6 linked regions of the Oryctolagus cuniculus genome follow. The protein of the gene in region 2 binds, or shares a complex with, the protein of the main gene of each other region. Links are inferred from orthologs where the notes say so. Each region holds a gene or a part of one and is shown on either strand. Other genes may lie near its edges. The genes, in order: CACNB1, STAC3, CACNA1C, CACNG1, CACNB3 and CACNB2.

What was found.
Region 1: STAC3 (region 2) and CACNB1 share a complex: the UniProt entries of both Homo sapiens proteins name them as parts of the calcium channel complex. The link is inferred for Oryctolagus cuniculus from reciprocal best matches to the Homo sapiens genes STAC3 and CACNB1.
Region 3: STAC3 (region 2) and CACNA1C share a complex: the UniProt entries of both Homo sapiens proteins name them as parts of the calcium channel complex. The link is inferred for Oryctolagus cuniculus from reciprocal best matches to the Homo sapiens genes STAC3 and CACNA1C.
Region 4: STAC3 (region 2) and CACNG1 share a complex: the UniProt entries of both Homo sapiens proteins name them as parts of the calcium channel complex. The link is inferred for Oryctolagus cuniculus from reciprocal best matches to the Homo sapiens genes STAC3 and CACNG1.
Region 5: STAC3 (region 2) and CACNB3 share a complex: the UniProt entries of both Homo sapiens proteins name them as parts of the calcium channel complex. The link is inferred for Oryctolagus cuniculus from reciprocal best matches to the Homo sapiens genes STAC3 and CACNB3.
Region 6: STAC3 (region 2) and CACNB2 share a complex: the UniProt entries of both Homo sapiens proteins name them as parts of the calcium channel complex. The link is inferred for Oryctolagus cuniculus from reciprocal best matches to the Homo sapiens genes STAC3 and CACNB2.

What each region holds. Positions count from the first base shown.
Region 1 is NC_091448.1:23,118,363-23,123,038, reverse strand, and holds part of CACNB1 (voltage-dependent L-type calcium channel subunit beta-1), read right to left. Parts: intron 4,405-4,676; coding exon 4,318-4,404; intron 3,828-4,317; exon of another isoform or gene 3,794-3,827; coding exon of another isoform or gene 3,559-3,793; intron 3,158-3,558; exon of another isoform or gene 3,029-3,157; coding exon of another isoform or gene 2,999-3,028; intron 1,939-2,998; coding exon of another isoform or gene 1,886-1,938; intron 1,482-1,885; coding exon 1,362-1,481; intron 295-1,361; coding exon 172-294; intron 1-171. UniProt on the Homo sapiens protein: Regulatory subunit of L-type calcium channels. Regulates the activity of L-type calcium channels that contain CACNA1A as pore-forming subunit.
Region 2 is NC_091442.1:59,882,825-59,888,179, forward strand, and holds the start of STAC3 (SH3 and cysteine-rich domain-containing protein 3), read right to left. Parts: upstream 3,679-5,355; 5' UTR 3,438-3,678; intron 2,809-3,437; 5' UTR 2,808-2,808; coding exon 2,745-2,807; intron 2,492-2,744; coding exon 2,224-2,491; intron 2,000-2,223; coding exon 1,902-1,999; intron 1,698-1,901; coding exon 1,625-1,697; intron 1-1,624. UniProt on the Homo sapiens protein: Required for normal excitation-contraction coupling in skeletal muscle and for normal muscle contraction in response to membrane depolarization. Required for normal Ca(2+) release from the sarcplasmic reticulum, which ultimately leads to muscle contraction.
Region 3 is NC_091440.1:100,500,172-100,504,847, reverse strand, and holds part of CACNA1C (voltage-dependent L-type calcium channel subunit alpha-1C), read right to left. Parts: intron 2,855-4,676; coding exon 2,748-2,854; intron 2,432-2,747; coding exon 2,328-2,431; intron 1,204-2,327; coding exon 868-1,203; intron 1-867. UniProt on the Homo sapiens protein: Pore-forming, alpha-1C subunit of the voltage-gated calcium channel that gives rise to L-type calcium currents. Mediates influx of calcium ions into the cytoplasm, and thereby triggers calcium release from the sarcoplasm.
Region 4 is NC_091448.1:13,143,468-13,148,743, forward strand, and holds the start of CACNG1 (voltage-dependent calcium channel gamma-1 subunit), read left to right. Parts: upstream 1-1,960; 5' UTR 1,961-2,101; coding exon 2,102-2,330; intron 2,331-5,276. UniProt on the Homo sapiens protein: Regulatory subunit of the voltage-gated calcium channel that gives rise to L-type calcium currents in skeletal muscle. Regulates channel inactivation kinetics.
Region 5 is NC_091442.1:52,304,485-52,309,795, forward strand, and holds the start of CACNB3 (voltage-dependent L-type calcium channel subunit beta-3), read left to right. Parts: upstream 1-2,064; 5' UTR 2,065-2,225; coding exon 2,226-2,270; intron 2,271-5,311. UniProt on the Homo sapiens protein: Regulatory subunit of the voltage-gated calcium channel that gives rise to L-type calcium currents. Increases CACNA1B peak calcium current and shifts the voltage dependencies of channel activation and inactivation.
Region 6 is NC_091444.1:44,637,256-44,641,931, forward strand, and holds part of CACNB2 (voltage-dependent L-type calcium channel subunit beta-2), read left to right. Parts: intron 1-2,127; coding exon 2,128-2,250; intron 2,251-3,871; coding exon 3,872-4,008; intron 4,009-4,676. UniProt on the Homo sapiens protein: Beta subunit of voltage-dependent calcium channels which contributes to the function of the calcium channel by increasing peak calcium current. Plays a role in shifting voltage dependencies of activation and inactivation of the channel.

The sequences.
Region 1 (4,676 bases), on a different chromosome or scaffold from region 2:
TTACCACCTCATTTACCAAGGAAAACTTAGAGGCTCAGAGAGGTGAGAGATTTATTTATCAAAAGTCACACAGCAGACTCTGCCCTGCTCTGCTTGGCTGAGAGGCCCTTCCCCCTGGAGCTCTAGCTGCCCCCTACCCATCCGCCCTCCTGATGCCAGTGACCTCCCCACCTCCTTGATGTGCAGGAAGTCCTTGGGCTCAAAGGTGATGGCCACTCCCTCCACAGGCACCTCATCCCCTGGAGATGGATTGTAGCCGACATTTGTCCGCACGGCAAATGCTACTGGCTTGGTCTGGAGGAGGCATGCGGGGAAGAATGGAACCAGGGGTTAAACCACGCGGGAATGGGATCACGCAGCGGTCTGCCTCGGCAAAGTGCACGCTGAGTGGGCTGTGCGTTTTTCCGTACAAAGGTGAATTTTTACAGCACAAAAGGAAGCAAAACTGGCATTCTGTCCTCTCGGTGTGGGGGAGGGCCCTGGGGGATGACACCGTGGGTGGCTTGGGAGCCTAGAGGGCCACCCAGAAGGAATGAGGGTGATGACAATCAGGGCAGTGGCTCCTGTTCAGCGTGCCAGGGACCCCCTGACACGTTTCGCACGCACCACCTCACCGCTTCATCACAAAGGCTCCATGACCGCTCCCTTCATCTTAATGAATAAGGAGGCTGAAGAGAAGAGTGAAGTGATTGCCTAAAATCACATAGTATCAAGAACCGAGGTGTGGTGGGCGGGCATTGGGCACAACGAGGAAGACACGGCTCGGGATGGCCGCATCCTGTACCAGAGCGCCGGGGCTCAAGTCTCAGCTCCACTCCCCTCTCCAGCTTCCTACGGGTGCACATCCTGGGTGGCAGCAGGGATGGTGCACGTGGTTGGGTCCTTGCCACCCACGTGGGAGACCCGGATTGAGTTCTAGGCACCCGGTTTTGGCCTGATCCAGCCCCAGCTATTATTGATATTTGGGAAGTGAACCAGCTGATGGGAGATCTCTCTCTCTCTCTCTCTCTCCTTCTGCCCCCCTTCCACCTATTTCTTTCTCTCTGGTTTTGAAATAAATAAATATTACAAAGAAGTCAGGGCCTGGATTCCAGCCCAGTAAGTTTGACTCCAAGAAGAAGTGGCAATGTTGAGCACTTTTCAAGTTCCTGTGATGTGTGGGGACTGTATTAGGCACTTCTTACCCTGGGCAAGCAGGGAGGGATGTCAGCCCACATCTGACAGGTGAGCAGGGGCATACTGAGGTCCAGGGACACACAGCTAGGAAGTGGCTGAGCCAAGACTTGACTCTGGTCCAGGCCCCCGCTCGGGCCTGAGATTGGGAGAGAGAACGCCAGCACGTCCCTCCCCCCAGTTCTCACCTTGGCTTTCTCAAGCTGGGCTAATGCCTGGCGCTCTGCTTCCTTCCTTAAGGCTTCCCGGTCCTCCTCCAGGGAGACATCAGAGTCCGACGGACGGCTGGTGTAGGACTCGGCAGAGCCCTGAAAGCAGACACAGCCAGCTCAGGGCCAGCACTGCCTCCCCCAGTCCTGGGCCTGGGAAGACATGGAGGTGTCACCCATCACGGATGACTCAAGCCCCAGCTGGCCCAAGATGACACCACAGGGCTGGGAGAAAATGGTGTTAGGTGGAAGGGTCCAGGGGCTGAGCTTGACAGGGCCCCGGGGAGGAGTACGGCCCTTGGAAGGGTGAAAGCAGTAAGCAGGGGGTTAAGGCAGGTCCCAGGACAGCTGCTTGGGGCCCAGGGAGGGGTGGGAACCTGATAGGGGCACCGCGTAAGGGAGGAGTGCCAGGGGACGAGTCTCCACTCCCCGCGCCTCCTTCCCTCCCCTGCCCAGCACGGGCTGAGATACACTCAGCAGAAGCCCAGTGGTGCTGCTCCCACCCGCTGAGCTCCAAGCTCTCTGCACCACTGGCCACCAAAAACGCTGCCATCTCCTGCTTGACAGGGGAAAGAGATCAATCCCTACCTCCCTCGCTTCTCTAGTTGGTACCCAGGACACCCCACTCAGAGCCCCAGACCCCAGCTCTTGGAAGATACAAAAGAACCCAAGAGTCTCAGTGGGGTGCAGGCAGAAGAGGCAAGCTAAGAGCAGAATACAAGGCAGCCTTTTCTCAACACCGTGGCTGCCAGGTGCCAGGGTTGAAGCAGGGTCAAGAGCCTGCTGTGCCAGGAAGTTGGCCTTGACCACACTGGCCAGACTGGAGCACAGGGAACTCCGGTACGGATGCACAAGTGCATGTGAGACACACACGGCCTGTGCAGACCTACTAGAACAGAGCACGGACGCCCGATTCACATGCATGCTTGGTGTATGACGGCAAGTGTGTGAGAGTATGGCTGTGCGTGACTAAGCATGTGCAGCTATGTGTGAGTGCGGGCCACAGGGCACCCCAGGGGTCTGCGTCCCTGAGGGAGAGAGGCATGCTAAGGAAGGAGCCGCGAGGTGTGGATTCATGGGTGACTGTGCAGGCAGGGGTGGTGCTGGGCACAGGTGGGAGGGAATGTGGGGGAAGGACAGGCCCTCAGGGCCATGGGGATCCTTTCCTGAGGGTCACCTGGCCAGGAATGCCCATTAGGAAAGGAAGAAGACCGAGCCCCACCTCCCCCAGAGGCTCCTGGCCATTAGCTGGTGCAGTCGCCCATCCTTCTCGCTGCCAAATAGTGAAAGTGGGAGACATGCAGGGGAAGGAGTGGGGGTCACTATGAGAAGCTGGTAAAGGGACGCATTGGGGGGAGTGGGAACCAGCGCTCTGATCCTTCTCCACCCCTCTGAGCAGGCAAACAGACACCGCTGAGCCAGAGAAGCAAGACACAGACAGACAGGCAGACCCCAACACAGAGCGGGCACACACGCGCACGCATGTACACACGCACACACCAGAAACAGCAGGAGACGGGAAACCACGAGGCGCACAGGAGACAGCTGCAGGGGAGGCCCCTCCGCCAGCTCTCCTGAGGGGCTGGCGTACCACCCTCACCCCATCCCCAGCTCACCACCGCCAGGGTCCGGCTGGGAGCCTCCATCCCAGCGCCCTCAGTGCCTGGCCCTGCTGGCCTAGGGGGTGGCCCAAACTGCCCGTCCCCCCAGGGGGCTCAGGTTACAAGCAGAGTTGCTACATGTGCAAACTGCTGGGGTATATTTAGCTCAGAGATGTGGCAAGGACTGCCCCCCCACTCCCCACCACCTACTGGGGGTCAGAATCGGGAGCTGAGAGGAGAACCGGAGACTGGGGGTCCGACCTCCTGGGTTGGCAAACACGGAAGGAACCAAGGCCATTTTCTGCCAAGAGGGGCAACAAAACACAGCGATAGTCTTCCTGGCCCTGGCCCATTCCTGCTGGGACGGGATGAGGGAGTGATGGAAGGGAGGATTTCCTGGCTGCTTGTATACTTAGGAGACGCAGCACGAGGTCCCCTTCCTGAATCTCAGAAGTCAGGCCTGGGCTCAGGGTGCCACGTGTTGCAGAGACAGAAGAACCAACAAGAAGGACCTCATCCCCATCTGCAGTAGACGCGCCTGCACCCTCCTCTTCCTCCTGGACCAAGGGGCTCACCTCGCTTCCGGAGTCTCCTGGCCTCATCTATGGACCTTGCCCATCTCCTCCCCAACACATCCGTGCCCTTATCTGATCCCAAGCCCCTCTTGCCTTTTCGGGTACCAGGCTTTATTGTGATGCTCAGTAGCCATAGCAACCACATGTCTGCCTCACTGCCTCTCCCTGAGCCCAAGAGAGCCTGGGGTTCAGATTCAAAACAGAGATGAGAGCGGCAGCACGCTAGCTCAGCCATCCCCCAGCAGTCAGGGGGTGCCGGGCTGCAGTGCTCTCTATCTCAAACCCTTCCTGTCCCCTCACTACACCTTCTCTCTATGCATTAGACAGTCACATCTGGGCACAAGGTCCCTCCAGGAACGCAAACGTCCCCGCTCCTCATCCCCTAGGATATGCCTCCACCCTACCCCATCACAGATCCTGGGGGAGGACATGGAAGCAGCCAGCCGGCAGGGGGAGTGGGTGACAGCCCGAGGCAAGCTAGGAGGAGGCAGGCCAGGCTGTCCCTGAATGAGATGACGCAGGCAGCAGAGGCTGGTGCCTGGTGCTGGGGGAGGGGCTGGGCGGGGGCGGGAGCTGAGGCAGTGGGTGCAGCTGACAGTACATCCAGGAGCGGTCATGGGGTGTCAGGATGATGGGGTGGTTCCAAGCAGGTGACAAACGACAGGGGAAAGGATGCCTGGAGGAAGCAGTAGACCCAGCTCCCCGTGGCCGCCCCCCACCAACAGCGGCCTCCCGGCTCTCCCCGGGCCTCCCCGGTACCTGGCGCACAAAGCTGTTGGATGTTGTATCTGAGGAGGTGCTCCCGTCGGACCGTTTGAAGCGCCCTTTTCTCTTGCTGTATTTGCCCTGCGGAAGCCAGGGGGGAACACGCGTGGAATCAGAAAGGACCTCTCCCAAGCCTCATCCCATCCGACCCAGAGCTACAGCCAGACCTGGGCAACATCACTCCCAGAGGGGAGCACCCCCCTGCATCTTCTTCCTGAGGTGGTACAGCCCAAGGAGAGGGAGGGTCCTCAGCTTCGCGTAGGGCCCAGACTGTGGCCAGGCCAGAGAGCCCCAGCAGGCACACACACAAACCCCCAAACCAAGCCAGAGAGGCTGGAAGGCGGAGGCACTGG
Region 2 (5,355 bases):
GACACTACTGGGGAGGAAGAGGTTTGGAGGGAAGAGACACCTCTTGTGGAGGAAAGAGGTGGGCACGAATAGACACCCTTGGGGAAGGCCGTATTTGAGGGGAGGGTCAGGGAGTGGTCATCTGGGTGATAATGAGGTCACCCATCTATGGAGGTTGCTACAAATAGCACTGGAAGTGGCCCGAGATGGAAAGAGATCTGCCAGGCTCCTTCCAGGCAGAGCATTACGTGACGCTGGAGGAAAACATGGCAGCAAGTTTCTCTGGAGCTGGGGCATGCGTGGAGTCACCGTTCTCCTAAGGAGAGTGCTCCCTTAACTGATGGCTTCTCCCTGCCGAGTGGCACGTGTAAGCTGCAGTGCTGTGACCAGCAGATTCTTCATTTTCACCCATGCTCCTCGCAAAGTTCAGCCTCTTCTCCAAATAAATGCTGAGAGAATTGTCAAGGAATACACTTCTAAGGATTGCCAAATCATGCACCTGCCCAGGCTGCCCACAGCTCCAGATCTGGCTGAGTCTGGGATAACTCTGTGAGAAGTGTGAGGACAGTCTAGAATCTTTGCTCTTGCTCAGAAACAGTTTTGCATCTGAACAGCACAGGTTTTGAAACTCGCAGATGCAATTTTCAGTCTTGGCTCTATCTCCTGTTAGCTGGAGATAGCTCTAGCCAATTTTTTTTCTTTAAAAAAGATTTATTTATTTATTTGAGAGGCAGAGTTACAGACACAAAGAGGGAGAGACAGAGCTTCCATCTGCTAGTTCACTCTCCAAATGGCCACAATCTGAAGCCAGGAGCTTCCTCCAGGTCTCCCACTTGGGTGCAGGGGCCAAGAACTTGGCCCATCTTCCATTGTATTCCTAGGCCATTAGCAGGGAGCTGGAGTGGAAGTGGAGCAGCTGGGACTTGAACCGGTGCCCATATGGGATGCTGGCACTGTAGGCAAAGGCTTAACCCACTGAGCCACAGTGCTGGCCCCCTCCAGGCAAATCTTATTTTTCTCAAGATTGCCTCAAACAGGGCAATATTAACGCTGCAACCGAGATGGCTATAAAAGTACTTATTACTTTTGTAATAGTCCTTATGAGGGTACTACAAACATTTATGAAAAGGTAGAATTAAAAGGTTTAGGAAGCGGATGGTTAGCCTCGCAGTTGTGATGCCTGCATCCCACATCGGAGTGCCTGGGTTTGAGAACCACCTCCAGCTCCTGACTCGGCTTCCTGCTAATGCAGAGCCTGGGAGGCAGCAGTGACGGCTCAAGCATCTCCACATGGGAGACCTGAACTGAGTTACTAGCTCTGGACTCGGCTCACCCTAGTCATTGTGGGTATTTGGGAGAGTGAACCAACGGATGGGAGCTCTCTGTCTCTCTCTGCCTAAAAAAAAAAAAAAAAAAAAAAAAATCAATTAAAAAATTATTTTGGTGCAAAAAATATTCAAAATCCACAGTTTTTTTCTGACAAGCATTTTCCACAAACTTTTTGAAGACCCTTTGTATTAGGATGAGGGAGAGTCATGGGAAATAGAATGTTCCTGTTTCACACTGTGGCTTCCAAAGCTAGAGGTGGTATGCAACCATCTCTGAGGTTTGCCCCATTCCCTCAGGTCCCACATGGGGCACTTACAGAGATCTTTGACACAAGCGTACTGCTGGTTGCTGTAGAGTGGGGAGCTATAGGCCCGGCGGAAACCAGGGGGCTGTAGGATGGGATGGGAGGAAGTATTAGAGGCAGTAGTGCAGGGTCCAGAACCCATGTCTCCCATGAGTGCTCGCCCCTTCTCAGAGCAAGAGAAGGGCTAAGAAGAAGCAGGGAGAAGAAAGGGATGACTTGAGGGGGAGCAGCAAGGGCACAGCTAGCGAGTCCCCCACTTTTCCTTTCTTGCTCCCCAGAGCCTACTCACGATCTTGCCGAAGCATCTCTGCATCTCCACGTAGGGCTGACAATGTTCATGGATGTTGGTTTTGCAGTTCTTACAGCGAAGCCCAAATTTGTTGTTGACTTGGGGGAGGAGAGAACATCTGTGTAAGACCCCGGCTTGCCCTTCTTTGCACCAGAGTTTCCTCTCCCTTTTTGGTTTGGGACTCTATACTCTGAATCTCTTAACAGCCATCTCCCAAGTCAAATCTTGCCACCGGCCACCTGCTACCAATATCACTCTCCTAAACCCTCTCCCGCACTCCCTGCCTCCACCCTCACTTTCTCTGCTTCCCTTCATGACTCACGCACAATCATCCGGGCACAGACATCACAAAACTTTGGCTTCTTGAAGAAATGATCTTTGAATTTGTGGGGCTTATCGTTGACAAGCTTAGGAGGCTCTGGGGGTGGCTCCTCCTCCTCCTCCTCTTCTTCCTCCTCTTCCTCATAGATGTAGTAGATGGGCCCACCCCCAGCTCCCACCGCCTCCCCATTGGCCTGGGGTTCTGGGGGAAGCTCCATCTCCTTTGTCTCTGTAGACCCCTTCCTGAACAACTGCTTCAGCCGTTGCAGCTGAGGGAGGGAGTGAAGGAAACCCAATGTTAACAGGATTGTCCTGGCCTCCTGGAGTAGCTAAGGCTACAGCTAGCCACATTGTTCTTGTTTGGGGCAAGGAATGCAGCCGGGGGTGGGGTGGGTGGGGTCAGGGGAGCCACAGGTGCTGGCTAGTCATCTAACAACACGCAGAGACCAATCAAGCACTTTCCTTCTGGCCGGCAATGGCTTCCCAGCTCCCCCCACACAGCGGTCAATGGCCCAGACTCACCCCACTTTGCCCAGCCTCTGCTGGGGAGGGCTTGGGGGACTCCGGTACCTCCTTTTCTGTCATCCTGCAAGAGGTTGGACTCCATAGGAAATCTAATCCCTGACTACCTTTCTTCTTGTCTTTTCATTCTTGTCTCATGGGGGGTAGGGTGGTCTTTGAAAGGGAGGCTTCAGGAAAAATCTCGCAGAGACCCTATGGTAGGGCTATGAGCAGCAAGATTCCATGGAGGTCCAGAAGAAACTCGGCAGACGTCAGAACCTCCCAGCCAGTGCTATCCTCCCATCCATCCTTCCACTCTGACAGGCAGCCTGCTCAGTCCAGTAGGCTGTGCCTCTACACGCCCTCCCTGCAGGTTTGCTGTGCATCCCTGCGAGCCCACAAGGAGGGATGAGCTGGAGACACTGCTTCTCCCCTCTTTCTGGACTCCTGGGGCCCGCTGCCTACTTCTGTCCCAGCCTGCCTCAGGCCTGCTATTTTAAGTTTTCAGAGTAATATGAGCCTTTCCTTCCCTACTACTCTGTTCCCTCAACCCCACCCCCACCTCCAATCCCAACTCATCCTGGAGTAGAATAATGCCACTCCTAAAAACCCCACTACTTACAGATGAGAGGACACAGAAGCTGAATAGACTACGACTGGGGAAGTTGGGGAGAACAATCCTGGAGCAGGAAAGGGGAGCAAGAGGCAACTTACGTTTGGGGTTCCCTAAAGTCAGGCTGTGGAGGGCAGAGGGAGCCCCTGGGGCCTTGACGGTGGTGCTGGGGGAGGACTGGTTCCTCTTCCTTGGGGGCTAAGCCCCCCCAGTGCCGTCCGTACTCACACCAGCCACTCAGACGGTTATTTGTAGACCTCCTAGCCTCTTGCCTTGGTGTCAGAGCTGAAATGACAGGGCTGGAGGGAAGTGGACAGCTGAGCCACACAGCTGACACAGAGAAATCGGACACGGGAGGTCTGGGCAGGGCTGGACCCTAACTCCACCCCTCCCCCAGCTGCTGTTCCCTGATTCTTCATGTAGCAGGAGCTGAACAGGCCCAGTGCTGGGAGTTTCTGTTCACGCTGTGTGCCCATTTGAGGGGATGCAGATGACTGCAAGTGAGGGAAGATGAATTAGACCCCCAACCCCTCTCCCCAAGGCCCAATCACCCCCAACTCTACCCTCCCCGGAGCTCCTCTAGGAGCCAGGCTTCTCTTCTCTGCAGTTGTCTCCTGGTGGCTCCAAGTCCCTGCGCCCTCCAGCCCCCAGCTTCAGACCTTCAGGCTAGGATGGGCCACTTGACTGTCCTGTCAGCCACCCCACAAGGCTGCCTGACACCGGGCAGCTGCAGGGGCACCTTGCTATCCTGGAATGAGGCGAGGAATACACAGTACTGCTCTACTCCCCCCATTCCACTAAGATCCTGTCCTGAGGGTAAAGGGAATTGTAAGGGTTACTAAAGGACAGGCCGAGACTTCCACCTGAGGGGCTCCAGGGAAGGAGGGGCCAGTAACAAGGAAGAAATACTTGACGCCAGAGACTGTGGCTGCCTTCTGCAGGGAGTTTTTGTCATTTTTAAGTCCATTCTTCCTCAGGAGGGAGCTGTAGACTCTTTTGAAGGGAGGACGGCCAAGTCTCTAAACCACTACGGTTCCCCGGTCCCGTCGCCCACCTCTGATGCCCCAGCACGTGAAGTGAGAGGGCAGAGGCCTGGCTGGCATTCTCATCTCAGGGGGATACAGCCTTCGCCTTCTCTTTGGGCCAGGGCATAATTGAAGGAAGAGATACTCTGAACTACGAAAGAGGGGTTATCATATGCTGCTTTATTTCTTGTTATCTGTAAGAAATAAAGGACTGCGTCGCAGGTGGGGTCAGCCAAGTTCTTGGGGGGAGCCTGGCTAGAGATAGGGCCACCCAGACCCCAGCAATTTTAGGGGTTGCACTTTGCCACATCCACCCACTGCTCTTTATCTCTCCTAGAGGGGTAGGGGAGATTGAAACAGGTGCTGGACCACCCTGTACCCACAGGCTAGCTGTGGGAAGTCCCAAGTACTCCTGGCTCCTCTCTTCTTCCACCACAGATGGCAGGGAACACACATCTGGACACTTCAAGTTCAGCTGGCGTAGCTTTTACTGTTAAAAGCAGCCTCTTCTGTTCCTGCCAGGTAGAACCCAATCCTCTGGCTTTAGGATTCAAGAAAGGTCCAAGTCCTCCACCTCTGAAGGGCTTCTGGAACCTTTGACAGACGGGTACGAGGCCAGTATCTCAACTTGGCTGTGAACATCACTCACCTTCGCCAGTTCAGCCACAGGGCCAACATGAGTCCTGGAATTCAGGGCTAGAAGGACCCTCAGAGGCCACTTTGTCATTGAGCTCTTATTTTACTGATAGGGACACAGAGGTCCAGAGTTGAGGAGGGAGGTGCTGCTCAGTGAATCACAGACCTAGAGACCCAGCCCCCATCAGAACTGTGAGCAGGGAGGAGGATGGCTCCGAGGGAAGAGTGCAGGGAAGTCAAGTGTCAATGCTAGGGGAAGCCACCCACAACAAATTCCTCCAGCAGTGAGGGGCGCTACTCACCCAGGGCCTCCAACCCCACCCACCCCAGGGAGGCAACAGAGAAACAGTGACTGATG
Region 3 (4,676 bases), on a different chromosome or scaffold from region 2:
GCCCTGTATCAGCACTGTATACCAGCACCCGGGCGGCACAAGGCGGGTGCCCAGCAGAAATTTGTGAAATGAGTCAAGGGCCACAAGGCCAGCAGCAGAATCAGAATGGACATTCGAAGTCACCTGGTTCAACTCCCAACCTCCTGCAGGCAGCGTGGTGGCCTGGCGGGCCCTGTCTGCTTACCTAGGTCCTGTGGTGGGAGGTTTCCTACTTTTTAGGAAAGACCCCTCCTTCTGGCAGAGCTCATTGGAAAGGAGCTGAAATCAGCCTGCCTGTCAGTCTAAGCCAGCTGCCCCGTCCTCCTGCCCAGGGCTGTAACCCTTTCTGGCCGAGTGCCCGTGATGGGTGTGAGATGAGAACTGCAGCTTCGTAAGCCACTCCTTCTCGGAGTCACCCTCCTCTGGGTTTGCACCAGCTTGTGAAAGGCCCCCTAAAATGTGGCACCAGGACTGCATGAGATGCCCTGGACTGGGCAGCCAGAAGCACTCGTGTTCTCAACTGATGGCGCTCCAACCTGGCTGTGCATCCAAGCTTTAAAATTCTCAGTTTAATTTGCCACAGTCTTCCAGAGCTCCCTGGCCACCGTGTGTGTGTGTGTGTGTGTGTGTGTGCAGCCCAGGTTTGTGTGTGGGTTCTGAGCGGTCCCTGAACATTGAGGCCCGTTTCTCGGGGTTCACTGGCTGTGTTACCCAGTGCTTTCTTCCTCAACAGAAGCCATGAGAGCCCATCACTTTCCGTGTGTCCCCGAAAGTGGCGGTCAGGGAGATGACATTCAGTCTATGGGGACGGAAGCGTCTCCCCCCTCCTCAGTTCTCCAGTCCACATGCCCTTCCCCTGCCTCTGCCCCGCAGCCCACACTCACATACCGCTTCCACCAGGCTGCTGGCGCTGCCGTGGAACTGTCTCCCCTGGGCCCCAGCCTGGCTGGGCACAGTGAGGGAGACGGGCCGGGCTCTCCGGGCGGCGCTGCTGTCCCCTCTGCAGGGGCTGTTCTCCCCAGACCATGAGCCGCAGTGGATGGACGGGAAGCTGCTGTTGAGTTTCTCACTGGAGTCGGCCCCCTCCAGCCGCAGGGTGGGGATGGGCTGTGGGGGCCAGCCTCGGCTGCCCGGTGTGGCAGGGGGCGTGGCACAGGGCCTGGGGAGCGAGGTGGGGGAATGGCTTCTCTGCAGGAGGGGACTCAGGCCCGCCACTGCCAATGCCTGTGGACACACAAGAAGCACGAGTTACTAGGAGCGATGGGGCCCAAGGGACGCAGGCCTCTAGTCTTGCAGTTACTTCTGCCCACCTGGAACACACACCCCATCTGTCTGACCCCCTCTGAGCCCTAGCTCATCGAGACCTGGCCCAGGTTTCCATAATCTCAAAATACATCTCTGCACAACTCAGTCTGCCTGAAGTGATCTCTTCCTTCTGTGAGTTCAGAAAGCTGCAATTGAGTGGAATCAGGATCATCTGCTGTACTTGTGAATCCTCTTGTTCTTGGTAGACTGTGAGCGATGACCCTACACTGTATGTTAAATGCAGGACACGCATGCCCTGTCAGTCAGCCGTGCGGGTTGGGGTGAGGATCAAGGTCTGTGAAGAAGTTCGATGTCCATCACAAGGAGCTAGATCAAGCCAGTACTCGTTATTCTGACTTTTATAAAAAAGAAAAAAAGGAAAAAAAAGAAAAGAAAAGCAAGGACGAGGAATAGAACCCTGCCAACCCCTAGCTCGGGTTGTCTTTGAGCCATGGCAGAAGCCTTACACTGCGCTGCTAGGAAGCCATGTACGCGTCTGCGTCCCGTGTCCCTGGCTGCTGCTGGGCAGCCCGAGGGCCGTGGCCTGCATCACCGCTGGGTCAGGACTCGGCCCCACAGCGTCTGCTGCTCTGCTGTGGTGTGTGGTGGGAGGGGGCGACACTGGGTGGCTGGAGGGGCCAGATACAGGTAAGGAAGGATGCCTTGCCCACCAGCGTGATAAGAACAGATGGGTGGAACCAGCTGCTAAAACCGCCTTCCAAAATAGCAAGCATGATGTCCCCACTTCCTGCCATTCCCCCTGTCCCGGCCCCAGCTCCCGATGGGGTTCCTGGCTGCCTGGGAACCTAAAGGAAGAACAAGGCTATGTGTGGTGTTGTGGACAGCCCAGTAGAAATCATTCACACATGGGCAGCGCTCCACAGGCTAAGCAAAATGGTGGATTTCTTTGAGCTGAAGTGATATCAACTTGGCCACACCAAGCTGGCTGTCTTAGGGTGATTATAAGCTTTGATTGCCAGTTGAATGCCTTTAAGTACGGCCTAGACTGTTGGGTGGTGGCTTAGTGCAGTATCATGGGCTACCTGGTGGTGGACCAGATGCAGGGGCAGGACTGTCTTCTGAGAGATGTCTCCCCCTTGATTCTTCTGCCGCTTCAGACACTCCAGGTGGAAGGAAGCCCTTCGACCTACAAAGCCAGCCAAAGAAGGGGCTCAGGGCAGGAAGAGAGGACAGGGCTGTGACAGCTCCGAACCCGGTGGGAGCAGGGTCTGGGGCTCAGACACCCTTCCTGTTTGCCTCTTGCTTTGTCTCTGAGGCGTTGCGGAGCACGTGTGTCCAGCTCCCACCCCAGCACACCCTGTCTTTGCAATCATTCTTCTCACTTTGGAAGTCTGCCCAGCCCACTGCCTGGATGTTGTTTGACCCCGGGCCATCCCGGAGTCCCTGACCAGGCATCTCAGGGTGACCACCAGCGCCCTCTGCAGAGCCAGGGGTGTGCTCACCCAGTGATGCGGAGCGCAGGAAACCCTTCTTTGGAGACAGCCTGATGTCCCGCTTCTCCTCCTCCGGGGGCGCCAGTTGTCGGTTTTCGTCATCCTGGTAGGAGAGCCTGGAACACAGAATTCTCGGGGCTCACTCCTGGAGCTCAGAGCTTTCGTCCCCAGAAACCATTTTGCCTTTTCCCTTGCTGAGGGGAACGCCCACCCTTCCCCACCCGGGGGTGCTTATGGACAGGTTTGGGGAGGGGGGGCCGACATCACAGATGTTGGCCCAAGGGGCTGTCCATCCACTGCCCAAGTGGTAAGCCCTGCATTTCTGACTTCAGGCAGTAGGAGGCACTCTTGGGACAAAGGTAGTGAGAAAGTTGGAGAAAATTCCAGGCCCCTGTGCCTCTTTCAGAGTGGCCTAGGTTCCTGTGTGCACAAAGGCCAACGCTCTTTACCAAGGCTGTTCTCGGCCTCAGCCCCAGCGCCGCCCCCGCTCCCAGATCCCCCTGCATGTGCATTTCAGCAGCTGCTCGCGACAAAGATGCAGCCAGTCAGCAGCGAGGTGGAGAGGGGCCTTAGGGGTGTCTGGTGGGTGGCCGCCAACCCTTCCAAGGGTGAACCCAGCAAGAAATACCTCGGGCACCCTGCCCGACAGACCCAATGGAAGGAAACGCACCCGACGGCACTCCCTGCACTCTGCACGTTGCTAGTCTACATTCGTCTGCTTGGTTTTATTAAAAGGCTTGGGCTGCAACACACTCCATGGACTTCACAGCCCCTCGTGCATTGGCCTGCATGGCTTGCATCCACCCCTTCATGCCACAGGTGAGGCCCTGGACGCTGTCCCCAGTGCTCCCCTACATGGTGGACAGGGGTGTGCTGGCTTCACCACCGAGCACACCCCTGCTCCATGCATTGATGTGTAGATGTTCATTGAATCTACAATCATCTGTATGCATTGCTCCTTTCTTCTCAACCATGCAAGCCCTCCCTATTGTATTTCCTTCTTATCCAAACCACCACTGCTCTTGTAGACCCAGCTTCTGTCTGAGCTTGGATCATAACCATCACAGTCACCCTGCCCCGCCCCTTCTCAGAATGCCTGTGCAGCTCAGTGTGTACCCCACTCTGTGGGCAGTTAGTTAGACAGTTGCCAACCATCTTTCTTGTCTGAGATCCTCTCGGCTTCCAAACCAGTTTGTAAAACAGCCTTGAGTGTGGACTGTAGTTAGTTAACTCAGCAGAACTCCCGGATACCAAGCACGCAGCCTGCGCTTTTCCTGATTTCTAGGATATGTAACCATGCAGTAATTTGCATTATCTAAATATTAATTTAGGGGCTGGTGCTGTGGCGCAGCAGGTTAACTCCCTGGCCTAAAGCACCCGCATCCCATATGGATACCAATTCGAGACCCAGCTGCTCCACTTCCTGTCCAGCTCTCTGCTGTGGCCTGGGAAAGCAGTAGAAGATGGCCCAAGTCCTTGGGCCCCTGCACCCATGTGGCAGACCCAGAAGAAGCTCCTGGCTCCTGGCTTTGAGTTGGCACAGCTCCGACTGTTGCGGCCAATTGGGGAGTGAACCAGGGGATGGAAAACCTCTCTCTCTCTCTCTCTCTCTCTCTCTCTCTCTTTCTGCCTCTCCTCTCTCTGTAACTCTGACCTTCAAGTAAAATAAATCTTTAAAAAATTAATTTAGAGGTGGGCATTTGGTGCAGGGATTAAAATGCCACTTGGGACACCTGTACTCCAAGTAAGAATGCCTGGTTTTGAGTCCTGTCCCTTCTGAGTCCAGTGTCTCGCTGATGTGCACCCTGATGGCTCAGATAGTTAGATCCCTGCCACCCATGTGGGAGACCCAGATTGAGTTCTAGGCTCCTGACTTCAGACTGGCCCATTCCTGGCTGTCACAGGCATTTGGGGAGTGAACTAGTGGGTGGGGGATCT
Region 4 (5,276 bases), on a different chromosome or scaffold from region 2:
TACAGGCAGAGTGGACAGTGAGAGAGACAGTGAGTGGACAGTGAGAGAGAGAGAGACAGAGAGAAAGGTCTTCCTTCTTGCCATTGGTTCACCCTCCAATGGCCACTGCGGCCAGCGCACTGCGGCCAGCGCATCGTGCTGATCCGAAGCCAGGAGCCAGGTGCTTCTCCTGGTCTCCCAAGCACTTGGGCCATCCTCCACTGCACTTCCTGGCCACAGCAGAGAGCTGGCCTGGAAGAGGGGCAACCGGGACAGAATCCGGTGCCCCGACCGGGACTAGAACCCGGTGTGCCGGCGCCGCAAGGTGGAGGATTAGCCTAGTGAGCCGCAGCACCAGCTCATTTTGTTTTAAAGTAAACTTCATCCTCACTAGCTTTTCATTGCTGATGTCCATTCGAGAGAAAGGGAGAGACAGCTCCCATCTGCCGGTGCACCTCCCAAAGGCCCACAGCTACTGGCGTGGGGCCAGGCTGAAACCAGGAGTAAGGTCTCCCACATGGGTGGCGGGGACCCAACTACTTGAGCCAGCTCCTGTCGCCTCCCAGGGTGCACTTCACCAGGAATCTGGAGCCAGGAGTGGGGCTGACACTCCAAACCACACGCTCCAGTGTGTCCTAACCACGAGGCCAAACACCTGCCGTTTCGCAGGTCCCTGGGAAAGTAAAGTATTCAAGCCCCAGCTGCCCTCCGCCTTCAGTCCGTCTGTCCATCCATCAAACCTCTCAATAAGCATCTGTGAAGGTTCTGGGAGGACCTAGAGTGAGTGCCTCACAGCCTCAGTGACCTCAGCCTCCGAAGCTCAGAGCAAACCCATCCACCAGTGGTCTGTGAAGAACATGCTGACGCAGCCATCCTGGATCCACCGCCCGCCATGCCGCCAGCCCAGGGCACCACAGCCAAGTGCTGTTCTGGAAGCCGGGAGCCAGCACAGTCAGGTTCTGGTGAGGGCTCTCTTCCTGGCTTGCAGATGGCAGAGAGGAAGCAAGTGAGCTCTCTGGGCTCTCATCAGGGCCCCAAGCCACCACTCTTACCAGACCACCCCCCAAAGGCCCGCCTCCAAACGCCATCCCACTGGGAGCTGGCACATCACACCACCCCACTGTCTGGGCCGCACTGTCTGCTGGAAGAGCTGAAACCAGGACAGAATCCGGTGCCCCAACCGGGACTAGAACCGGGGGTGCCGGCGCCGCAGGCGGAAGATTAGCCTAGTGAGCCGTGGCGCCGGCCTGCATTTAACTTTGTAAGTGAAAATACAGCCAGGAATCTTTATGACCTGCCTGGAAGAGGAGGCGGCGCTCAGAGCAGTTCCATAGAAACAGTGGTGCCGCTGAGTCCAGCTGTATTCTCCGGGCCTCTCTCTGTCTCTAAGGGCGGTTGTTCCAGCACACGTTCCCTAGCCCTGAACAGGGACAGGAACAGGAAGAGAAGTGAGGAGGTAGAGGTGTTCTCATAGTGAGGTCACAGTTGGCTGAGGAACATGCATGCAGATTCCCAGGCCTGGGCGGTGGGGCTGGGCTCCTGTGCGGGCTCAGGCACTGCGTGGGAGGGGGCTCCAGAGGCCCTGGGCAGAGGGCCCTGGGCTGTCCCTAGGCAAGACCCTGGGTCCCCTGACTCCCCGGGATGAGGACCCCATCTTGGCAGCTGGCTTGCCCAGTGTGAGACCAGGAAGCAGCAGGGCCTCCCCGGGGGCCCTGTGCTGGCTTAGCAGGACCTCTGCAGCCAGAGCAGGTGCATCACCCGACACGAGGTGGCCCATCCCTCGCCCCCGTCCACTCCAAGTCACTCTGTAAAGCCTCCTCCTGCCCCACCCTGGCTCCAAGAGGGGAAGAAAGCGCTGAAACCCGAGCAGACGCCGTCCTGGGCCCTGCTGGAGGCATTAATAGAAGCCTCGCTCAGGCCCCTGACGTGTCTGGCAGCTGCTCAGCCCCAGCCCGCGTCTCCCAGCCCCAAGGCCGGCCCACTCTGGCTCAGCCGGGCACACTAAACTTAGCTTCCACCCCCAGCTCCGGAGCCACGGCCACCACCCTAGCCGGGCCGCCACCTGCACGGGCAGGCGCCGCCGCCAGACCCTACCTGCAGCACCCACCCCTCTGCAGCCGCCATGTCCCCGACGGAAGCCCCAAAGGTCCGCGTGACCCTCTTCTGCATCCTGGTGGGCATCGTGCTGGCCATGACGGCCGTGGTGAGCGACCACTGGGCCGTGCTGAGCCCCCACATGGAGAACCACAACACCACCTGCGAGGCCGCCCACTTCGGCCTGTGGCGGATTTGCACCAAGCGCATCGCCCTGGGCGAGGACAGGAGCTGCGGACCCATCACCCTGCCTGGGGGTAACGTATCCATGCCCTGTCCCCTCTCTGCCTCCTGCCTGTCGCAGGTGCCCCGGAAGAGGTGCCCGTGGGAAAAAAGGCAGGTTTCTCTGCCTCGGGTCCAAGCAGCACCCCAGCCCTCCCTGCCCAGGGCAGACAGAGCTGCGCATGGCACGGCCATGTACGGAGGGCTTACGTTTCCAGCTATTAGAACATGGGGCCATGCGCCCAGAGCAGACAGCTGCACAGATGGGACAAGAGGCCCAGGACGAAGACGCAGGTCCACCAGACCAGGGCCTCTGGCTCAGCAGGGGTCACAGCCCATGTCCCCAGGCTGGGTGGCCGTGTGCCCCCAGCCCGGCAGGTTCATTGCTCAGTGCCCAGGCAAGGGTGCAAACAGGGCCAGCTCCAGGGTCTGCAGTGCCTCCTGCAGAATGAAAAGGCAGGGCTCCTAGTTTCCGGCGACAAAGCGTTTCAGGTAGGCGGCCGCAGGGTGTGGGGCGCTTCTGGGGTGGGTGTGACTGTGCAGGCTGCACCCCTGGAAAGTGGGATGTGGCAGCATGCAAGCCGGCTGCCTGCTCGTGGGAGCCCACAGACCTCCCGGAGGGGCCCCCTGAACTCAGCTCTCTCAGATTCCAAAGTGTCCCCTGTCCCACAGTGTCACCCAGCCACACGCTGCAGGTGAGCCCTCGGTCCAGGACGTGGGGCGTGAGCAAGACAGATCCCTGGGAAGAGTGTCGGTTCTGCACGTGTGGGGCCCACGGAGTTCCAGTGAGCAGAGCGTGTGCCAGGGCAGCGGGTGCTGTGCGGGGAGCGGAGGCCTGGGCCCCAGTCACGCGCTAGCCGCCTGCTCCCTAGAGGAGGCTTCTGGGCAGACAAAGCCCAGCTCAGCTCCTCCTGCTGCCTCTTCTATAAAACAGGAGACTTGGTCTCAGCCACACACGATCCCTCCCAGAGCTCACCAAGGTCCCTCCAAGGCGGCAGCCGGCCAGGCTGTGAGTGACACCGTCCCACCTGACATGCGTGTTCAGAAAGGGCGTCCTTTAAGGCGGGTGGCGCTGAGCCCCCAGAGGTCTTGCAGTCTGCCCAGCCCCTAGCCCCATGCCGCCCTTTCCTCCCCCTGCCACTTGCTCCAGGGATCCCCTGCCCCGCGTGCCCCCGGGGGGCGTGCAGAGGACTCGTAAATCCTCAGCTGTCTTGGAAACGCTGAGTCCAGGGCTGGGAGCTTTGACAGGCGTGGGCATGTGCTCATGGGCTATCGCATAGCGCAGATGCTCATGCCCTCGGCCACCGCTGAGCACGCCCGTAAACACACGCCTCCTCCAGCCAACTCCCTTGGGCAGGGCAGGGCGGGGCAGGGCGAGGCGGCTCCTCCAGGGACACTGTCATGGTCCTAGCTGCTGTCCTTGGAGCCATCTGCCTTTTAAAGTCAGAGCCGATGAGCAGGGCAGCGGGCAGAGTCCACACAAGGAAGAGACAGACTGGCCAGAGGTGACCAGGCCAGCCCCAGGGGACCGACACTTGGCCTTGAGCCTGAGCAGCGTCCATCTCTTTGGCCTCTCCACGCCGCCCCCGCCCCAGGCGTGAATCATGCACTTGCGGCACTCAGCACTGCCTTCCCTCCAATAATCCTCCCAAGCATGTCCCCCCGGCCTTTTTCCTCTTTTGCAAACAGATGTCTGCTTCCTTCCCAATGTACCTTTACCTTCCTTAATCTCCTCGGGACCACCGTTTTCTGGAGCGAGTTCATACATCTCTCATTTATTTGTTATTAACCAAAGCAACAACAAAGGCACGCAAACGTAGCACTGTGTGCATGTATTGTTGTGAATGCTTTTCCTAAATTCACTTGAAATGACGTCAGAAAAATAGGACAGAGTAAGGCATGCCTGCCCCCAAATCTTCCCCATAAAAGCCATGAGGATTCTGGCAAAAATTGACAGGACACTGGACATTAACCAAATCTCACAGAATTCCAGAAAAACAAGGGAAGCTCAGGAGGAACAGAGACTTGCCCATTCCCACGCACCCTCCCCAGGTCTGCCGTGGCTTCAACATCTCACAGTCATCACCAACATAGCAGCCCAACAGCCACTGAGGGGGACAAATGGCCAGCTTTCTTTTACGGCTCTGTTTTCAGAGCGGTCATTGTGCGACCTGTCCTGTGGCTCCCTGCAAGTCCCCACTTACAAATCGCCTCTATCTGACCTGGCTCTGAGCTCTCCAGTGCCACCAATCTTTCTCCCAGGGAGCATTTGTTGAAAACAACTGGAGCCAACTGTGTAACATCATGGCTTCTTGAGACAGCACAAAACAGTTGGTGCTAATAATGGGATAGCCCAAACGCTGGAGGATATGATGTCCGTTGGCAGCTTTGGAAAGTTCCAACATATTCCTGGGCACCTCGAAGGCCTTGTGCATGCACGGTGCTGCCAACAGGCTCAGGAGAGACCTGAGGTCCTAAGCTCTCACCCCTGCCTTATCTTGAGGCTCTGTGCAAGTAGAAATGGAGTCTAAAGCAGAGATGTAGACTGCTTAGCTGAGGGCCCCCGGCATCCCTAACATGTGCTCAGGGCCCCTCAGTAGACTGGGAGAGATCCTGGTCCTAAGCATTTAAGAAATCTCTGTTAACTGGCCACTAAGCTAATGAGACAGACATTTCAGTTGTCAGACACAACAAAGAATACAGAGTTCACAAAATTAGTCCAGAAGTCACTAAACAACAATAAGCAGTAATAAAGGCTCAACGCAGGAAATATGGACAGGCAAAGAACTGAAATGGTAGGGGCTCCATGTTGGGGGGGAGCGAGGAGCAGGAGCCAATAGATCCCTTAGGAAGCTCAGAAATTGCTGTACAAAGATTTTTTTTAAAAGATTTATTTATTTATTGGAGAGGCAGAGTTACAGACAGAGAGAGGGAGAGACAAAGAAAAAGAGTTCTTCCATCCACTGGTTCACTCCCCAAAA
Region 5 (5,311 bases), about 7.6 Mb from region 2:
CCTCTACCTGGTCCAGATCTGCAGGACTGCTGAGGAGATGACTTTTAGGTCTTCCCAGAAGTCCCAGTGCCTGCCTCAGTTTCCCCCTCGAATGCTCAGGACCTGGGATCTGCCCAGCTTCCTGGTGTGGTTACAAGAAGCGCTAGAGGTATTTTGGAGCCTCCCCAAGAATTCTCACTCCCAAACCTGGCTCTTTGGGCGCTTCCTCCCATTGACCGGCTTCCATGCCTTGGGTAGTGCCAGCTGTCAGTTTAACACCTGTCTCTTAGAAAGACTGCAGGAAACGTCCTCTCCCCTAACCCCCCCCCCTTTTTTGCATTTAGCCCTCACCCATCATGCTAAACCATGGACCAGAAAAGAAGTTAGGGACCACATGGATGCTGACACATGTCTTGTTAAAGGATGGGAAGTCATTAGGTTGGCCTGAGAACCAGAGTAGACAGATGTGGGTGAGACTTGAAAGGGGCGCTGGGTAGCAACCTGGAGATATGGGGAGGAGGGAAGGAAGGTGAAGGGAGGCTTTGGAACTCCTGCAGGACCCAGGGGATGGACCCAGAGGAACTTAACCCATCTCCTGAGGGTGGCTGCCATGGCAACGCAGTCTCTTGGGTACCAAAAAGGTGTATGAAGAAGGGCTGCTGATGGCAGATCCACCAGATCTACAGCTCGTTGGATCTCTGGTGGGTGGGGGGAGTCCCAAAAAAGAGAGACCAGGAGATCCAGGGACAGAGAACGCCATTAGAACCACCTCCCAGGAGTCCTCCAGCAGACTCCTCCAGCCCTGTAGGATGGAAGGAACTGACGCGAGAGAGAATGGAAAAGATACAAGGAATCCTAAAGGAATCGAGAGAGAGGGCACAGTCATGTCCATATACGATCAGCCCCTCCCCTGCCCCCCGCAGGAGCGAGCGGGAACTGTGAAAGCCGAGCCACCGCCTCCCCGAGTAGCCACCGCCCCCCTTGGCCGTCAAGGCGTCCAGGTTGTTCCCCCAAATCTAGCAAGAGGAGAAGGCCGGAACTGCCACAGGCACAGATAAACTGAAGCAGGCCCGAGAGAGTCTCAGGACGAGGCAAGCAGGACACCTGTCCCCCCCCAGCTGGGGCTTGCTGCCAAGGCGGGGTGTGGCCCTGGTCCCCCACCAGGGACTGGGGACGCTCGCCCCTTTCTCCCCTTCCCAAGCCTGTGTGGCAGGCAGGATCGCACCTTCGCCCCCACCCCTCCTCGTGGGTTCTCCTAAAACAGCCCCTTCTGCCCCAGTTCCCACGAATGCCTTTGGCCATGTCTGGCACCACCCTTGGCAGGGAGATGAGGAAGGGAACCTGCATCGTGGCTGCAAAGGGGTGAAATCCGCCGTGCAACAGGTGCGCGGAGGCCTATCCAGCTGCCAGAACCTCGGCCCTTCTCCAGGGTCGGGCGACCCCGCCCCCCAGCTGCGCGGCCCCGCACTGCGGGGCCCGCGCGTACGGGCTGGGGACTGGGGTGGTTGCTTCCACAGCACTGGCCTGGGGTCGCCAAATCCCTTCCTCCGCGGTTGCAATGCAAGGTTTGGCTTTCGGAGTCTCCTGGGACGCGCCGCCATCTCACCTGGGCCCCCTCCCCCGCCTGCCGCTGCCCGGTCTCTCCGTTTTCTGGTCCCCGGTTCCGCTCTCCAGCCTGCGGCCGCCCCAGCGCCCGAACCCCGGCCCGCGCGGGTCGCTGCCCGGCTCCGCTCGGCCCCTTCCCCGCCCCCGCCCAGCCCTTTGTTTCCCGGCGGAGCAGTTTCCTGGGTTGCGGAGCGTCTGGGAGCCCGCAGCGCCCCTCGCCCCGCCTCCAGCCCGCTCGGATCCGCCCGCCGCCTCTCCGCCCCTCCCGCCCGCCGCCCCGGGCCCGTGGGTGCTCGGGGACCCAGCTCCCGTCCGCGCCCTCCCGCGGCCCAGGCCCGGCTGCCCCCCGCGGCCACGCCGCGCCGCCTTCCCGTGAGGGCCGGGTGGGCGGGCGCTATTGTTGCGGAGCCGGCGCCGACTCCTTGGCGGCGCTCGGGGTGGGCCCGCGGGTGGGGGGTGGGCAGCTGCGGTGCGAGCCCGAGCAGGCGTCTCGGTGGCAGCTCCGTCCCCGGCGCGCCCGCCGCCGCCGCCCGCAAGGCTGCGGGGCTCGCTGGCGTCCCTCGGGCGCGGCCCTCCGTCCTCGCCCCTGCCTCGGGGCCGCCCCCGCCCCGGCGCCGCTCGCGTTCCCGCCCGGACTCCCCATGTATGAGGACTCCTACGTGCCCGGGTTTGAGGACTCGGAGGCGGTGAGTGCCCACGCCGGAGCGGGGGTGGGGGTGGGGGGTTGGGGCGACACCTGGGGCTCCCTGGGCCCTTCCCCCAGTTCGGGACTTTGACAAACGCCTCAGTGGCGGGGCAGGGCGTGCAGGGGGCGCTCTGGGAAAGCGGGAAGACAGATTCCACGCCGAGGGCGCCCGCCCGCCCAGACCCGGGGGGCCGGGGGCCCTTGTGGCGCAAGGCTGGAGCAGGTGGCTCCGCAGCCCAGCACGGACGGGGTCGAGGGAGGGAGAGAGGCCGGAGGCTGAGGGCGCAAGGGTTTCCCGCGACGTCTGGAGTTTCAGATTCTGGATTGATGGGGGCTCTTGGGCAGGGGGCCGTGCCACACTTTATGTGCTGTAAATGAACGGCACACCAGGGACCTGAGGGTGTCGGGTACCAAGCCGTCTCCTCAGAGGATTGTAAAACTTGAGGCGGCCCAGTGTCTCCTGCCCGCCCCCGCTGGCGCATCACCATAGCTCACCCCTTCCTCTAGCCCGTTTTCTCTCCTGGGCATCCAGCACCCTGGGGGGTGGGGGGGGGACACCTGATTGCACCCCCACCCCATGCCCAGTGCCCAGCTGCGGCTTGCCTGCCACCCAGCACCTATGGAGGGCCAGGCGGTGAGGCCAGAGGGGCTGGAGGGGGCCCGGGGCTTGGATAGGAAGCTCTCTTGGCTCAGAGAAATCAGGCAGCCGATAAATATTTAATTCTCTTCTTTGCTTTTATCTCCTGACCCACTGAGACAAATCAGCTCATTAGGCAGTGATTCCCGGAGCTCAGGGAGAGTGCCTGGAAAGATAGGGCCCAGAGTGGGGCAGCTTCTAAGCCCCCCTTGGAGCTGCCAACCCTGCCACAGCACCTCCTGGGAGAGGTGCTGGTGGTCGTGGGCCGCAGCCTGCCTCTTCAAGCCTCCAGCCTTCTCTTGCCTCCAAGCCCAGGATGGATGAGTTGCTAAGGGGCAGAGCTGGCAGAGCTGGCAGTCCTTGCCTGGGACCTGACTGCTCCTGGGGCCGGTTCTCCCAGGGGGACCTCTGGGGCTGATTGCACAGCAGCTGCAGTGCAAGGCTCTGGTGGACACTTCTCTCTGACACTTGAAGGGGACAGCTGGCACAGCCCAGGGTGCCAAAGTGAGCTCTCTGTAGGGCTCGAGGGCCTTCACGGGACAAGATAGACACGTGGACGGCTGTCTGAGGGTGAGCCTGCTGCCTTCCCAGCTGTCTCAGCGTCCTGGATCACCCTCTTCCCCCCTCCCCGCCACTTCGCCTCCTCTCTCCTGGCTCCTTGCTCTCTCCCTGAGGCCCCCTCTGAAGCAGTAGGAGGGAGATCAGTCTCTAAATAAATCCACCGGCTCATCTCCCTCCTCTTCTTCCCCCGTGCCAGGCGAGAGGAGCTGCAGCCTGCCCACACACTCACCAGGCAAGGGGGGCACCACCCGTGCCAACTTCTGACAGCTCCAAAGTGCTGAGCCTTTGGCTGTTTTGCCGTAGTGGGGTAGAGCAGAGGTAAAAGATGCAAGAATGGGTTTGCTACGCAGCCCTGGCCATAGCATAGCGTGAGAGGTGGGTGAGCCTTGAGGATTTGGGAGTGGAATCATGGATGGAGGAGTCCCTTCTGAGTATAACTCCGAAACTTGTCGGGAGAGCTCCTGTGATTGCCACTGGAAGGTGAGAGGTCAGGTAAGCCAGACGCACCCTGCACTAAAGTTACCCAGTTAGGCTGAGAGCCCTACAGCAGAAGGAAAGCCGAGGCTCCTCGCCCAGCACCTGCTGGGCGTCTGCAGTCTCCGATGTTTAGGCGCCAAAGTGAGTGGCCGTCCTGCCTCTGCCTCCCAGCCTGCTGGCCACTGTCCAATTCAGCGTGGCCCACAGAGCTGTTTCGCGTGTCCTGAGAGCCCTGGAAGGGGGTCTTCCACCACATCCAGCGGTTTCAGCACAGCGTCTTTCTGTCCCGCTGCCAGACCAGTCTTATTTTGTTCTCAGGAAAGATGGACAGCCGCAAGCACGCTCTACTCATCTATAAAATTAAAGACCGCCCCTCCCTGCCCCTCTATGCAATCTTCACATCTTTGGTCTGCTCCACACCATCATTTAGGCTCGAGGGCCTGCCGTGCCTCCAGCTCTCTCACCTAGGGTTGGGCTGGGGCAGAGAACGTTATGGGCAGCAGATGTGCAGTTTTGCCTTCTCCCCTGAGAGTCTGGCCTCTGCCCCCCCCTCCCAGAAAATCATCATGCACAGTAGCCTTGTGGGAGTGGTGCTCACCCTGAGAATATGCCAGAACCCCTTCCCCTACACACACACCAATACACACACACACACGTGCACACACATGCACGGACGCAGGAACCCTTTATCTAGTTTCCTGCTTTCTCTGCTACCAGCATCCTAGAATTAAGGGAAGAATCACTTTAGGCTTCTGCTCATAGCTGAGGGGTGGGGGTGTGTGTGTGCAGCACTGAAGCAGAAAACACAAAATTCCCTTTTCTCTGGGCAGAGGGAAAAACCCAGACGATGTAAATTCCAGCCTCTTGCCTCCAAGCCCGGCTTCTCTTGCTCTTTAGTGTCTCTCCCTCATGGCCTCAGACATGGCACACACAAACACACACATAAACCCTGCCAACCTCCAAATGTACCCTCATCACCCACAGACCCTGCCTATGGGCAGGACTCTGGGACTCGCCTTGCTGACATTACAAAGACTCCCCCTCCCCACATCCCCAGGGTCCTGGTCCTCGGCTGGGTTGCCTGGCACCAACCTGGCACTGGTGTCCCCTGGCGAGAAGATAGCTTTGTGTTGCCTCACGGTCTGTGTCTTATTCGCTGCTAACACCTGACCCGGTTACCCCAGCAGGTGTAAAAGGAAAGAATGTTCGTGGGGGTAGGGAGAACAGAAAGGGCAGTGAGTTCCAGGAGGTACCAATGCCCTAGTCTTTACTTCTCCTCACCCTGGAAGGGCGGGGGCCTTTGGAGTCTTGTTGGAGGAGGGAAGTGGGATGGAGGGGGTGACTGTCTATTTCATGTGCCTGGGAGT
Region 6 (4,676 bases), on a different chromosome or scaffold from region 2:
AAGAAGGAAATGGAAATACCAGATGTTATTAAGGCTTATGTTTCAGTAGAACAATCATTAACTTTTTTTTTATATTTATTTATTTATTTGAAAGTCACAGTTAAAGAGAGGCAGAGGCAAAGTGAGAGGTCTTCCATCTGCTGGTTCACTCCCCAAATGGCTGCACTGGCCAGAGTTGGACCAATCCAAAGCCAGGAGCCAGGAGCTTCTTCCAGGTCTCCCATGCGAGTTTAAGGGCCCAAGCACTTGGGCCATCTTTTATTGCTTTTGCAGGCCATAGCCGAGAGCTGGATTAGAAGTGGAGCAGCCGGGTCTCAAACCAACACCCATGTGGGATGCAGGCAGCAGCTTTACCTGCTACACCACAGCACCGGCCCAGTGGTCACATTTTCCTTACACTTTTTTTTTTTTTTTTTTTTTTTTTGACAGATAGAGTTAGTGAGAGAGAGAGAGACAAAGAGAAAGGTCTTTCTTCCGTTGGTTCACCCTCCAAATGGCCATAGCAGCCAGCGCTGCACTGATCCGAAGACAGGAGCCAGGTGCTTCCTCCTGGTCTCCCATGCGGGTGCAGAGCCCAAGGACCTGGGCTATCCTCCACTGCCCTCCTGGGCCACAGCAGAGAGCTGGACTGGAAGAGGAGCAACCAGGACAGAACCAGCGCCACAACCAGGACTAGAACCTGGAGTGCACCGCAGTCGGAGGATTAGCCTAGCAAGCCGTGGCGCCGGCCCTCCTTACACAGTTTTAAATGTCATATTTGTAGGCCAAGGGAACCATCTATATATTATTTAAAAATCTTCATGAATACCAAGAATTGGCTTTCAACTATCTAAATCTACTTCCTGTCTATGGTGCCTGTATCCAGAACTTGATTCTGTTTTCCCAGTCTGCATCTTGGGGGGTATGTTTAAACTACTTTAGGACCCTTAGTTCAGTCTCCAACCCAGACAGCAGGTACAACAGATTAACTGTGGAAAATTTGAATGGGTACTCTCTATTTCAGCCCCTCCCTTGCAAGACCAGATGAAGAGCTCCTTGAGTAGGGGAGAAACAGCTCAGAAGAAATCTTACTCCTAATGTGGTGGAAACATAGTGTTAAAAAAAAAAACAAAAAAGGCCTAGTCCCGGTCGGGGCGCCGGATTCTGTCCCGGTTGCCCCTCTTCCAGGCCAGCTCTCTGCTGTGGCCAGGGAGTGCAGTGGAGCATGGCCCAGGTGCTTGGGCCCTGTACCCCATGGGAGACCAGGAAAAGCACCTGGCTCCTGGCTCCTGCCATCGGATCAGTGCGGTGCACCGGCCGCAGCGCACCGGCCGCGGCGGCCATTGGAGGGTGAACCAACGGCAAAGGAAGACCTTTCTCTCTGTCTGTCTCTTCCACTGTCCACTCTGCCTGTCAAAAAATAAAAATAAAAATAAAAAAAATAAAAAACAAAAAAATAAAACTGAGTTAGACCAAACCTCTTTTCAGCATTTCTGAGCTTCCGTTTTTCTATCTTGTGAATAAGCAGTTGTTGCCTGGAACACATACTTAGCTGTAAATTTTTAAAGCATCAAATAATGAATGATAGCTTAATTAATGTTATCTTTGATGACTGAGCAAACTCAAGGTGGAAAAATAATAGAATAAAAGGTCATTGCTTTCACAGTTCCCCACAGTCATGAATAATAGTTGCTATAGTTGTAATAGACATTCATTTCCTGGTTCTTTTTTCATTCAAAATATTGTCCCTTTTGGAACTATGTTACTAATGATTCATTGAAGTAGATGTTTTGGGTAGAGGGAAGTTACTGAGTCTTTTCCTCTTGAACCAAAGAATTTGGTGTTTTATTCATATTTGTGCTTCCTGACTTCTAGGTGCTACAAGATGTTGTACTGTAAACCTGTATTTAACTGTTCACAGAGAACAGTGGTCTTGCTCTAGTTTACAAATGGATGGTATGTAGCTGATGGCCAGATCTCGTGCATTGTGGATGATAACAGGCTGTTTTGTGACAAGGAATCATGGACTAAAACAACCAAGATTACCCCACCAGTTATTCTGTGTATCTGCGCCTTGGGAGGCAAGGGTGAGGGGGCATTGTTGCTTCATTTCTTCTTATTTTTTGTCCCTTTCTTTTCCCTCTTTAGACAAAGCCTGTTGCATTTGCTGTTCGGACAAATGTCAGCTACAGTGCTGCCCACGAAGATGATGTCCCAGTGCCAGGCATGGCCATCTCATTTGAAGCAAAAGATTTTCTGCATGTTAAGGAAGTAAGGAAAATAATTGCAGTTTCTGTCAGTGTGATTTTTCACCTTGAAGCATCGTTTCTTATTGCTGTGAAATAGCTCGGTGTACAGCTACATTTGTGTAACATTCACACTAAATCAGTGGTTCTCAGCCTTTTTTCCCATCCAAACACACTTTTTTAAAGGAGACAGGAATCCAAGCCTCCCAGAATAACTTCAGGGCTCACTTGGGCTCTTTGGCCCAGTAATTGGATACTCCTAGAGTAGATGATCCTTTTTTATGCTTAACTGCTACTTTCTTTTAATGTTTAACTTTGACTCTGTGTGGCTTTTCCTGCTACCTGAAATTTAGCCACCTGGGGAGAGGTTAGTATCCAGAATTGATGACTCCCAGGTGCTGACAGTGGCTGAACCAGACTACTGGTGCCCCTCCTTAATTCTCAGAAGCTAACTTTTTGCAGCAGAGGGGAGAATGAGAGGAATTTGAGCCAATGAGGCAAGAAACACATCAGGAACATTGCTTTTCCTCCATGCTAGACATCACTATCTTTTAGATAACAGTGACACAATCTGTAAATGGGAAAAATGCACCCTTAATTAAAGTTTGTTTTGAGTCAACATTTATCATATGCATTCTGTGTGGGACACTGTATTAAGTGACCAGGAATTCCCCCTACATAATGTTCTCAGTGAGTGAGCATGAGGTTTTCTTGGACCTTTTGGGATTTACAGTTGGAGCGTGCATAGGGCTGATAAATCGGAGGGAACATATGTAAATCTAACTGTTCACTGCTCTGAAGGCTGTGAGCACAGAAGAATATGACTGCCAATTAAAGGAGTAGGGAATTTAGAGGGTGTTGTGTCATAACTCCTAAGATGTGAAATACTGGCTAAGTAGGAAGACAGAAATGATGGAATGCTTCGCATCTGACTTTACAACAGGAGGTTAGATTGATACAGGGTCTCCTCTCGATGGCTGATGCCTAGAGAAAGATCTCTACCACGGAAGGAAAAGAAAGAGAGAATGGATAGTCTTTGATGTGTTCAAGAACAGGCTGATGTGATTGAGGAATGTGAGCGCAAATCATAAAGGTTTAAGATAAATGTTCCAACAGCAAGAGATAAAGTGTCAGCCTTGGTACACATAGAGAAATCATCTGTGAACATTAGCTTAGTAATTATAAAACTGCACAGTGGGAAATTTTACTGTGACAAAATATTTCAAGTAGATTTCACTGTTTCTCTCTCTCTCTCTTAATACTTCTAATTAATCTGATTACCTAAGAAGGATCTCTGTAACACCTCCAAGTTCCTTACAGTCTCTTACTAGGAAGGGCTGCTAACCTTTGAACCCAGGAAGCTTGTCTTACCCATAGTGACAGCATCAGCTGGGAAGGAATTCATCCTGGACCTAAAGCAGCACCAGGAAAAAGAGCAGAAAGCCTTTGATGGAATGCTAAGCGTGCGGAGAGTATTTCACATCTATGCACTAAACCCATGGCCCGAAAGCTTCCTTGAATTTCGATAGTTATCATGTAGTTCATTGCCATATCTTGCTCCGTTTGAAATGGTTGTTATGGAAGAAAAGTAATTCAGAGATTTTACTCCTGTGCACTGATTGTAATAATTTTGATTTTGTGTTTAGAAATTTAACAATGACTGGTGGATAGGGCGTTTGGTTAAAGAAGGCTGTGAAATCGGATTCATTCCAAGCCCGGTCAAACTAGAAAACATGAGGCTACAGCATGAACAGAGAGCAAAGCAAGGGAAATTCTACTCCAGGTATGAGAGCAATGTCAAGTGCTTTGGTAAAAGTTGAGATCACACCACCGTTCCGTACTTCTGTTTGTTGTATTCTGCATCCCTTAGTGTTTGTTTGAAGGGAGACTGGTGGTACGCTTACTGAATACAATACAAATTTACATTTTAAAAACTTAATTCCAGCATCTGATTCCCCTCCGAGATTCGGGAGGGAATCATCCTGAATCATCGTTATGAAAATTGCGGAGGTCACAGAGTGCTGAACTCGGGCTTCAGTGCCCAAGAAATTCTGAAGTCCTCACTGTCTCCTGAAAGGGCTCTGGCACGGAGGGAGTAGCACTGGTGATGAATCCCAGTGTCCAGTGTCCGCAGCTGCCTGGCATGACAGGGAGACGTTTTCAAGACGACATCAGCAGATAGCAGCTCTTTTCATCTATCAGTTTCATTTTCACCTGAGAAACTCAATTTTCAGTTGTAGCCACTGTTGAGCACTCAAGGAGAAGCTAAGTGTGAAACAAGTTAAAATTGCCTTTGCAGCGGAGTTAAGTAATAGGCTGCAGCGGAATAATCCTTCCCAGGATTCTGGGGCTGCGTACCCCTCGTGAAGAGCTGCTCCTAACTGTGGTGAATCTTAATTTGAACCCTCCGCAGACAAGTGGAAGGGGTGGGCATCTTTTCCTGTGTGCAAG